2 linked regions of the Drosophila melanogaster genome follow. The gene in region 2 interacts genetically with the main gene of each other region. Each region holds a gene or a part of one and is shown on either strand. Other genes may lie near its edges.

Region 1 (5,583 bases), on a different chromosome or scaffold from region 2:
CAGGATGCTCGTTTTTCTGGCAATGGAGTACCATTAGATCATACAAAGGTACTCAAAGGTACTAAAAAGCTCACCGTTATAAAGCCCACTCCGCAGCCGTAGACCGTTTCCTGAAAGGAAATCTCCTGGCGCGAAATGCTAAAGTAGTTGAGGAAGTTTCCAGAGGCAAAAACCAGCGTGTCTGAATCCACAAGGACCAAATTAAACAGCTTCTTACAATCGTAACCAAAGGAGTGTCTGCAGCAGAAGTTTTCCAATCAAGAAAAAGTTATCAACTTCCAATTCCGTACTCACTCTACACTGACGATATCACGCGGAAAGGATACGTCGTTCTCATTCTCCAACTCCTCCTCTTCGCCCAGCAGATCAGATTCCTGCGTAGTATCCATATTATTTAGCTATTATTGTACAAAACTTAACTTGCTGTGTATTTATTTATTTGATACAAGTGAAAAGGTTTACTTGAGTGTTTGTTTGCCTGTTGCCAGGTCACATGAAACCGGCTATCTGAAAAGAGTTCTGCAAACGTGGAGCATGCGCAGAAGTGCGTTCAACAAGTTTCATTCAATGCTATAACATTCTCAAATACAATTTATTACGATTAACTCAATAAACATTCTAGGATTAAATTCCATTACACAATCTAAATATCTAATTCCAAAAAAGCCTCATCATCATCATCGTTAAAGAACGCCGCGATATCCGACTCAGCCTTGTTTACTTTGGTCATTTCTGTATTATTATTTTGCTCAGGCGGCTCTTTAGCTGGAATAGTTGAAAAATATTGTTTTATGCTATTCCTTTCCGGTTCAAGGGAGGTGGACGTGGAGGGCGAGAAGTACTCCTCGATCTTGTGGGACTAAAAAAAAAGTTGAGTTAGCGAAAAATACATTTTTCAAAGTATTCAAAATGTATCTTACTGAAGTGGGTGCTGCTGTGTGTGTTGCTTTCTGAAGATTTTCGGCAAAGATGCCCACTTTACTAAGCACCTCTTGCTTATTTTTCAGCATGTTCCAGATTATATCGTCTGCCGTATTGTGAGCAATCAGATAGCGACAAATCACCGGTTTTGTCTGACCAATGCGATGGGCACGGCTCTCCGCCTGGGCAAGAGTCTGCACATAAAATAAAACTAAATTTAAGCGTTCTCCAAGTTAACATATAAGCGAAGCTTACGCTAGGATTCCAGTCCAGTTCAGCGAACACTATGATCTCAGCTGCAGTTAGCGTTATTCCTGAATTGCAGGCTTTTAGGGAGAGCAGGGCCACCTTACAACTGCTCTTCTTTTGGAACGTGTCCACAGAATCCGACCTGTGATCGCTACGCGTTTGTCCATCAATACGTATGTAGTGTACTTTCAATCCACTGAGGAAGTCGCTAATGGCGTCCATCATGACACGATGGTGGGCAAAGATAATGAACTTTTTCTGCTCCTTAACTAAGGTTTTTAGGTAGGCGCTATAATGCAGGATAATACATTAACTTCAGATGGTTTATATGGTTTTAATGATTTTTTTTATTACCAGACCGCTCGAGTTTTCACTTCGGCAGTGCGTGCATAGAAACGGAGTAAGATCTCTTCCGTTGCCCTGCCTTTAGCGGTTTTAAGCTCTTTGTTAAACGCATCCAAGGTTTCCTTGGTCTCCGCATTGGTCCACACTAGGGCGGGATCCAGGACGACAGTCTCACTGCGGATGGAAGAATGTTCGAAATGTTAGAAAATATATTATAGATATACAACAATGTGAACAACCCACCGGTTCTTCTCAGCGAGTTGAGGCAGCACCTCCACTTTCGTTCGCCTCAGCATATATTTAAGGTGAAGTATGACCTTCAGTTCCTCCAAATTCGATTGACCATTGGCATCCCAACCAAAAGTTGACTGCTTTCCATCACAATAACGAGTAGCTGTGAATGTGTTAATCGATATAAGCGCGTTCTAAGGTAAACAGACATTCTTGACATACTGAACTCCATGAAATTCATGAATTTGCCATCAATCATTTGCAGTTGCGTAAAAAGTTCCAATGGCCGGGAGAGAGCCGGTGTGCCGGATAGCAAAACCACCCGCTTCGCCTGATCCGTGAGTCTTTTGGCCGTTGTCGTGCACTTGGCCTTGCTGTTCTTCAGCGTGTGCGACTCGTCGAAGATGATGAAACCAAACTTCCGCTGCATCAGCTTATCTTCGTGTCGCTCCATCATATTGTAGCTGGTGATTAGCACCTTGGCCTCACCCACATATAGCTGATTGTTGTTCAGCACCTGGACATAGTGGATGGGCACCTTCGGCAGTAGATCCATTATGTGTTTCGCCCAACTGTCTCTCGTAGAAGCGGTGGTGCAGACAAGCAAGGGCCAATCATCCTTGAAATAGTCGGCTACGGCCAAGGCCTGATAGGTTTTGCCCAGGCCCATTTCATCACAGATCATAATGCGTCCCTTTTGGGCTATGGCAAAGCTAAACATATGATAAATTTAGCGCTTTTGGAAGTACATAGCATACAAGCAATGCTTACCATACCCCATCCTGTTGGAAGGGCATTAGCTGGTCCGCCAGCTTCGGTTCTATGGAAGCTAAAACACTTCTTTCCGGAACTACTGGCGGCTGGCCGCAGAGATCCAGCACCTTCTTCGGAATGCCATTCATGTGAACATATGGCTTTAGATCCGCTGCATGAGTTTTCAGGGATTGGTAGTCCGACAGATCGAAACTCCAGATACGGGTTTGGCCATCGTAGCACTTGGTGGGCATGTTCTTGAACACGGTCACGAGCTGTTCGTGATATCCTGAGGTTTGGGCAGCAAACCGATGTGTGCTGATCAAGTAGAGATTACACGTGATGGAGTTTCCGAGTAGCACAGCCACCGGTTTCTCCTTATCCGAACTCAGTGAAAGAGTGGGCTTGTTTCTTTCGTTCCCTCCATTTGGCCGCTGGTAAGGATGTGCTGCTCCGCGGGACAATTCCCGGTTGGATGTCTGTTTGATTGCTTTCAGAGCGTTCAGAAAGGATGAGCTCTTGTTGTCACCGGGCGTGGGACCGCTCCTGTTGATCTTCTTCTGCTCCCCCGTCGGTGATCGGTAGAAATTCAATGGGGATTTGGCCTGCGGTTGATTGGGATTTGATTTTCCATTATTCGCATGTTGCGTCGCACCTGTTGCAGACGTTGTTGATTTTCCATTGGTTGCGGGTGCGCTGGCCAGCAGCTGGGATTTCTTGGCCTGCAATTTGGCCAGCGCAATGCGCTTCTTCTCCGCTATCTCGGATGAACTGCAAGTGGACATGCTGCGACATCAATTGATAAAATTTGGCGGAATATATAAACAATAAATGCATGGCTCTGTGTGACCAGGTGAGCCATTTTTCAATCCTTACATCTTACATTGGGCGCCTATTTTAAATTATTTTTACATTTTACATACTCTATGTATACATTATTATGTATATATTATGTATAAATTATTTAGTCCTTAAATTAAATTAAAATCATTTCTGTTTTCTTATATTGCCTACGTCGGTTGTAAGCGAAGATAATCAGCTTAGAATTTTTCCTAAAAGCGAGTTATTATTTTTTTTGCCTATCAAGATGTTCTTAGACGTGCTATCAATTAATTTCCATTGGTATCAGAGGGCGAATTTCTTAGAGATAGGATAACGCCGAGTGGGGGCTACTCCAGACAGCGATAAGGGGCGCAATAAAAACGGATGGAAGTCTGGCGCAGACCACGATTGATCCAATCACCATGAAAGTGTTCGTTGTACTGGCTCTGGCTTTGGCCGCTGTCTCCGCCGAGACTGTCCAGCAGGTTCATCCCAAGGACCTGCCCAAGGACACCAAGATCAATGGCCGCATTGTGAACGGATATCCAGCCTACGAGGGCAAGGCTCCCTACACCGTGGGTCTGGGCTTCAGCGGCAACGGCGGCTGGTGGTGCGGTGGTTCTATCATCGCCCACGATTGGGTCCTGACTGCTGCTCACTGCACCAACGGCGCCTCCCAGGTGACCATCTACTACGGAGCCACCTGGCGCACCAACGCCCAGTTCACCCACACCGTCGGCAGCGGCGACTTCATCCAGAACCACAACTGGCCCAACCAGAACGGCAACGACATCGCCTTGATCCGCACCCCCCACGTGGACTTCTGGCACATGGTTAACAAGGTGGAGCTGCCCAGCTTCAACGATCGCTACAACATGTACGACAACTATTGGGCCGTCGCCTGCGGTTGGGGACTGACCACCGCCGGATCCCAGCCCGATTGGATGGAGTGCGTCGACCTGCAGATCATTAGCAACTCGGAATGCTCCCGCACCTACGGCACCCAGCCCGATGGCATCCTCTGTGTGTCCACCTCCGGCGGAAAGTCCACCTGCTCCGGTGACTCCGGTGGCCCCCTGGTTCTCCACGACGGTGGCCGCCTGGTGGGTGTCACCTCCTGGGTTTCCGGCAACGGTTGCACCGCTGGCCTGCCCTCCGGATTCACCCGTGTTACCAACCAGCTGGACTGGATCCGCGACAACTCCGGCGTTGCTTACTACTAAGCTTGATTATCTTTATTTTTAAATAAACGAAATGCATAACAATTAATTTGACGCCTTTATGTTTCTGGTTTTATTACATTTAAAAAATCACATGGATATTTTTAAGTTTCAAAAGTCTAGTCATGCAGAATCCGAATCTATAATAAACGTCTTATAGATAAGAAGCCATGAATGGCTAAGAAATGGGATGGTTTCTTGGCAATCGAACACTTGTTATCTGGAAAACATGATTAAACACTATATATGTAGCCATGATAGACATAAGTAGGAATACTAGCAACTGTGGTCTATACTAGTCAATAATCAGATAATGAAATAATATATATATTTACCAAAAGATTATATATTCCAAAGGATTATTATACTGACAAATCACAAAAGCGAAGTGATATATTTATTAAATATATGAAATATATTTCTAAAAAATAATACAACTTTCGTCTTTAAAATATTTCACTTTTTACTTGTAAATGTTTAGTTTATTGTTTTAAATTTTAATTTTAATAACTTTAATGGGAGTGCGTTTAATATTAAAACCTAAACAATGTAGCGCACTTACGAACGTTAAGTACAGTATAATTCGCTTAGCTGCCTCGAGTACTTTGCACAATGCCTCGATGCAGGTAACTTAAAAATGCAGCTAACTTAATTTTTTTTTTTCTATTTTCTATTTTCTATTCACACAAAAAAATGGAAAAATAATGCAGATATCTTGCCGATGCAGCTAACTATCGATGCAGCTAAGCGAATTATACTGTAATACTACTTTTGAATGACCACAGGACGTGTGCCCTAATCTCTGTGCGCTCCTGTTCGAGTGTTCCATTGAGTTGTGGCTCTGGGCATGAATGGGGGCTTATTGGCACCTATCTTAAGATCAGCTCCGAGTGGCCGCACGTCCATGTTGATAGGGTCGGACAATCTTCTAATGAATGAGTGGCAGTGGGCAATCGTCAGATTGAGTGGTGGCAAGTCATGAGCCGGAAAGTGTCCAAATCGGATGGGTAGATCATTGGAGTACCCTGTAATGATAGTGCCG
Region 2 (4,828 bases):
AGTTTACTAAGAGGAATTTGGATTTCCAGCTCCACAGATGGCTCGAACACACCGGGGGGAGGATAGCTACCAGCTGGGGATTGAAGCTGAACGAGGTCCTTCGCTGCCGACACCTTCTGTTTAGCTGCTCCTCCTCTCCTCTGCTGTTTGAGGGAACACAAGGAACTAGGACTTATATCCAGCAACTTTCCACCACTTATGGAATTATTATCGACAACAATTCTCAGGGGAGAATTACTGGCCGACGAGCCAGCTCCGCTCACAGACGTAGGTTGCTCTAGGAGATGTCTTTTTTTGGGCGTTAGCGCAGATTTTACGCTCCTAGCATTAAACTGGGCTTGCGATTTGGTAGACGCAGTGCTCTTAGCAGCCGCCGCGGCTGCAGCCCAGGCCTCTGCGTTCAATTTCCCATTGGCGAATGCTACTTCCGCCGGCGGACGCTCTCCTGGAGTCAAAAGATAGTGGCGCTTTTTCAACGGCAACTTGTGATCATCGGGACTGGAACTGTCATTGCTTTGAGATTTCTTGTGTCGTCGTTTGGTATTTCCATTACTGCTTCCGCTGCCATTGGGAGTTCCACTAGCGCTAGCTGATAGCATAGCGAAGTCCACTAGGGGCTCACTCAGCTTTCTCTTCTTTAGGCCCCGTTTTAATGGTTTGGAAAGGGTGGAAGCTGGTCCTCCTCCATTCAGAGTCAACTGCTGGGCAGGGCTTGGTGCTGCTAGGGTGGCCTGCAGCTTGTTGGCATCGGCCAATAGCTTCTCTTTGCCACTGCTTCCGGTCAAACGATCATCTTGGATGCGACACCTTGAGTTGAAGGTGCTTGTGATTATCTCGATTTCGGTGAGCAGCTTGGAATCAATGTTCAATGATTTGTTGTGACTGAAACTCTTCCGGCGATGTCTGCGACGCATTCTAGACACCCCAGACACATAGCTGCTGCACATACTGGCTGCCGATGAGCGGCGAGATTTAATCTTGCAGGACGATTTGCTGGGAGCCGGGGTTTCTTTACGCTGGTTCATCATTTTACTAATGAAGTTATCCGGGTTGGTGGCAGACAAACTACCGCCTCGACCGAAATACTGCCCGGTGGTCACATAGCGATTGATTTCGCCGTACTTCTTGCTGGCACTTGTCGTGGGAAGGCTTTTAAGGCTCGGCTTACTGATGTATTCGTTGCTCTCCTCACTGCTCTGGCCCAGAGATAATCCAGCTAGCTGAAGGATGTCCTGGTCCTCGACAGTATCGTCTGCTGAGCTCTTCAAGAGCATGGAAGCCCGGCGCTTCCGCCTCATCCTTAGGCCTGACTTTCCAGATTCCTTGCAATCACTCCGGTAGCCGCAGCTCTTTGCCCTGCTCCTGCGACTCATACAACTCTTGGTGCTGTATCGACTCTTGCAGCTGGCATCGGACTTGTAACCGGAGTTGTGGTTGTGGCTGCTCCGCTGATGTCGTACGCTTCCGTAATCCGAGACGTAACCGCTCTTAGCGGCCAAGACCTTACTGCAAATAGTGGTGCTTGCTCCTGTTCCACTAGCCGCACCCACACTCATACTCCTCAGCCTAAACTTCTTGTTCACGTCGATCTCTCGCCACAGCGGATCAAGCTGAAGTTCCTCTTTGTTGGATGAACTGCAGGCTGTCTTTTTATTGTTCTGCCGTCGCTTACTCCTGGGCGGTGGATAGAGCACCCGCTCAGTGGCATACATTCGCTTGTCCAGATACGCCATGTCGATCTTAGGCTTGCTGCTGGAGGCGATTGGCAGCGATCCCGTCGGCACAGCATTCTCATTTTGCATTTTCGGGGAGGGAGTAGTGCTCTGCGTTGTGCTAGTGGTGCTTATCACACCCGAATCGGCAGATTCGTTTATAGCAGGGCCAGAGTTTCCTGGGGCAGGAACTGTGGGAACCACTTTTTTGGGTCTACCTCTGCGCTTTCGAGGAACAGCTGTTTGGACTAGGGTCTCCTCCTTAGCTTTAGCCACTTTCTCCTCCGCAAGCTTCGCATTGACGGTCTGCCCCAGCATCTGAGTCTTCTCCATGAAGTCTTGCAGCAAAGTTGACTGGTACTGGGGTAGGTTCTTGTCCTTGGCCGCTTTGCGGAAACTTCCTTCCACAGTTGTGTCCTCCGTATCGCTCTCCACTCGCTTGATAGCCGCCTGCACCAGGTTAGGTAACTCGTTGTCGCTGGACGAGATTCCGATATCGAGGGTGGGTTTGCTGGCCGACTGTGCCGCCTGGATGATAGCACTTAGCAGCACTCGCGGAGCTCTCTGCTGATGCACCTTCAAGGGCAGATCGTCCTCTGAGTCCGAGGAAAATGCCGAGATCTGTGACTTCTTAGACTTAGACACTTTGTCCGATTTACTAATCCCACTGGAACTTGCCAGCTTCTTGCGCTTGACCTTCACTTTCTTGCTGACCGCTCTATTTTTGGCCTCCGAGCAGCCGGACTCGGTGTCCTGGGTAGACATTTTTCTGGACTTTGGGGGTTTCTTGGTTGCTACGACTCCTAACGTGGGGCGGATGGCCGAGATTCTCATTCGCAGTCCATCGGTGTCCGAACGCTGCACGCTAAACTGGGTGGCTGACTTGATCGACTTCGACTGGCTCGATTGATCCGTAATGGAATCGGTTTCCTGAGGAGAACAACACACTTTACATATAGCATTGCATAAAGGGTGCCATTTTAAAGACTTGCCTCATTTTCACTGCCGGATTCTTGTGCGCGTTGCGTTTCCAGAACCTTTGCTGCTGCCGTCTCATTTTGGCTACAGCTCATATTTTGGAGTCGCTGGGGAGCTGCAAAGGTTCGCTTTTGTTAGCCAAGTGTTTTTAATTCGATTTGGTGGCACTCTTAATCGCCTTTAAAGTAGGTCAAACCGCGGTGACATCGTCCAAAAAAAAAACCATTACCTACAGCACACTTACGCTTGATTGTTTTCTGGGCTAGTAGTAGACCTCAGTAGTCGGTTTCGTTTGTGCCGAAATGACAATCTATTGCTGCACACATTGCATTTGCACTTTTCTTGAGCCTTAGGCCGTGGCTTGCCTGCTTCTAAAATGGCGCCGTTTTCACTTTCCCAAAAACTGCTTTGTTCGACGCCCGACGACGGCGCAACGTTGCAACGCTTCTCGCATGTGGCACATTAATCCGCGGTACCGATAATTCACTTTTTTCGCGACTAGTGGGCGGTGGCGGGGCGCATCAATTGTTATTGTTAATGTGGCGCAACAACAAAAAGCCAGGCAACCAAAAATTTACGAACATAAATAAAGAAAAAGACTGCGTTTCAGTGTGCCCAGCTGGGGTGTACGTGATGTCTACGCGACAGTGTGACCTTGCGGCGGAATTTAGCAGGCAACTATCGCGAACAATAGTGGATTCTATTCAAAAATAGCTGGAAAAAAACAAGCCGATTATTGTATAACAATGTGAAACCAGTAATATTAATATGACATTTTTTATGAATTAAAAATGAATTCTTATATTTTTTTTACTATTGTAACTAAATATTTGTTATGGGAATATATTCCTTACATGAACTCGCAAATAGCAAAATTTTAGGTGACCATAAAACTAATTATAGCAGACGATATGAAACAACAAAAAAGCCAGAATAGCTAGATTTTCTCTTTTGGGTGTGTGCACACTGGCCGAGCAGCTCGGCGATTATTATTTGTTTATTTGTAAAAACCTGGGAAATGAGTGGAAAACCGTCGAAACCGAGCAGCCCCTCCAGCAGCATGCTGTACGGCTCCAGCATCTCGGCGGAGTCCATGAAGGTGATCGCGGAGAGCATCGGAGTGGGCTCCCTGTCGGATGACGCCGCCAAGGAACTAGCGGAGGATGTGTCCATCAAGCTGAAGAGGATTGTACAGGATGCGGCCAAGTTCATGAACCACGCCAAGCGGCAGAAGCTCTCAGTGCGGGACATCGACATGTCCCTTAAGGTGCGAAATGTGGAGCCGCAGTACGGTTTCGTAGCCAAGGACTTCATTCCATTCCGCTTCGCATCTGGCGGAGGACGGGAGCTGCACTTCACCGAGGACAAGGAAATCGACCTAGGAGAAATCACATCCACCAACTCTGTAAAAATTCCCCTGGATCTCACCCTGCGCTCCCATTGGTTTGTTGTGGAGGGAGTGCAACCCACTGTGCCCGAAAACCCCCCTCCGCTCTCGAAGGATTCCCAGTTACTGGACTCGGTCAATCCAGTTATTAAGATGGATCAAGGCCTAAACAAAGATGCGGCAGGCAAACCCACCACCGGCAAGATACACAAGCTGAAAAACGTGGAGACCATTCATGTCAAGCAACTGGCCACGCACGAGTTGTCCGTGGAGCAGCAGTTGTACTACAAGGAGATCACCGAGGCGTGCGTGGGATCTGATGAGCCGCGGCGCGGGGAAGCGCTGCAGTCGCTGGGATCCGATCCTGGCCTGCACGAAATGCTTCCCCGCATGTGCACCTTCATTGCCGAGGGAGTTAAGGTCAATGTGGTTCAGAACAACTTGGCGTTGCTTATTTACCTCATGCGCATGGTTCGTGCGCTTCTGGATAATCCTTCGCTGTTTCTGGAGAAATACGTAAGAAATTTCTTATTGTATTGTTCTTTGTTTCTCATAAAAACGATGTTGTCTCCGCATAGCTCCACGAACTGATACCCTCGGTGATGACGTGCATTGTGTCCAAACAGCTGTGTATGCGCCCCGAGCTGGACAATCACTGGGCCCTGCGAGACTTTGCCTCCCGACTGATGGCTCAAATCTGCAAGAACTTCAATACCCTAACCAACAATCTGCAAACCCGTGTCACCCGGTA

Evidence for each region.
Region 1: of ash1 (region 2) and Marcal1, changing one suppresses a phenotype caused by changing the other (phenotypic suppression), as found in Drosophila melanogaster (one study listed by BioGRID).

What each region holds. Positions count from the first base shown.
Region 1 is NT_033779.5:4,953,284-4,958,866, reverse strand, and holds Marcal1 (Marcal1), read right to left. Parts: upstream 3,359-5,583; 5' UTR 3,285-3,358; coding exon 2,518-3,284; intron 2,460-2,517; coding exon 1,969-2,459; intron 1,910-1,968; coding exon 1,759-1,909; intron 1,690-1,758; coding exon 1,525-1,689; intron 1,460-1,524; coding exon 1,177-1,459; intron 1,116-1,176; coding exon 921-1,115; intron 860-920; coding exon 644-859; 3' UTR 575-643; downstream 1-574. Other genes in the region: CG34124 (uncharacterized protein), read right to left, coding at 1-16, 75-237, 295-389; Jon25Bi (jonah 25Bi), read left to right, coding at 3,744-4,544. UniProt on the Drosophila melanogaster protein: ATP-dependent annealing helicase that catalyzes the rewinding of the stably unwound DNA.
Region 2 is NT_037436.4:19,595,452-19,600,279, forward strand, and holds the start of ash1 (absent, small, or homeotic discs 1), read right to left. Parts: upstream 3,305-4,828; 5' UTR 2,935-3,304; exon of another isoform or gene 2,920-2,934; intron 2,806-2,919; 5' UTR 2,786-2,805; coding exon 2,705-2,785; intron 2,643-2,704; coding exon 1-2,642. Other genes in the region: Taf6 (TBP-associated factor 6), read left to right, coding at 3,709-4,593, 4,656-4,825. UniProt on the Drosophila melanogaster protein: Trithorax group (TrxG) protein that has histone methyltransferase activity. Specifically trimethylates 'Lys-4' of histone H3 (H3K4me3), a specific tag for epigenetic transcriptional activation.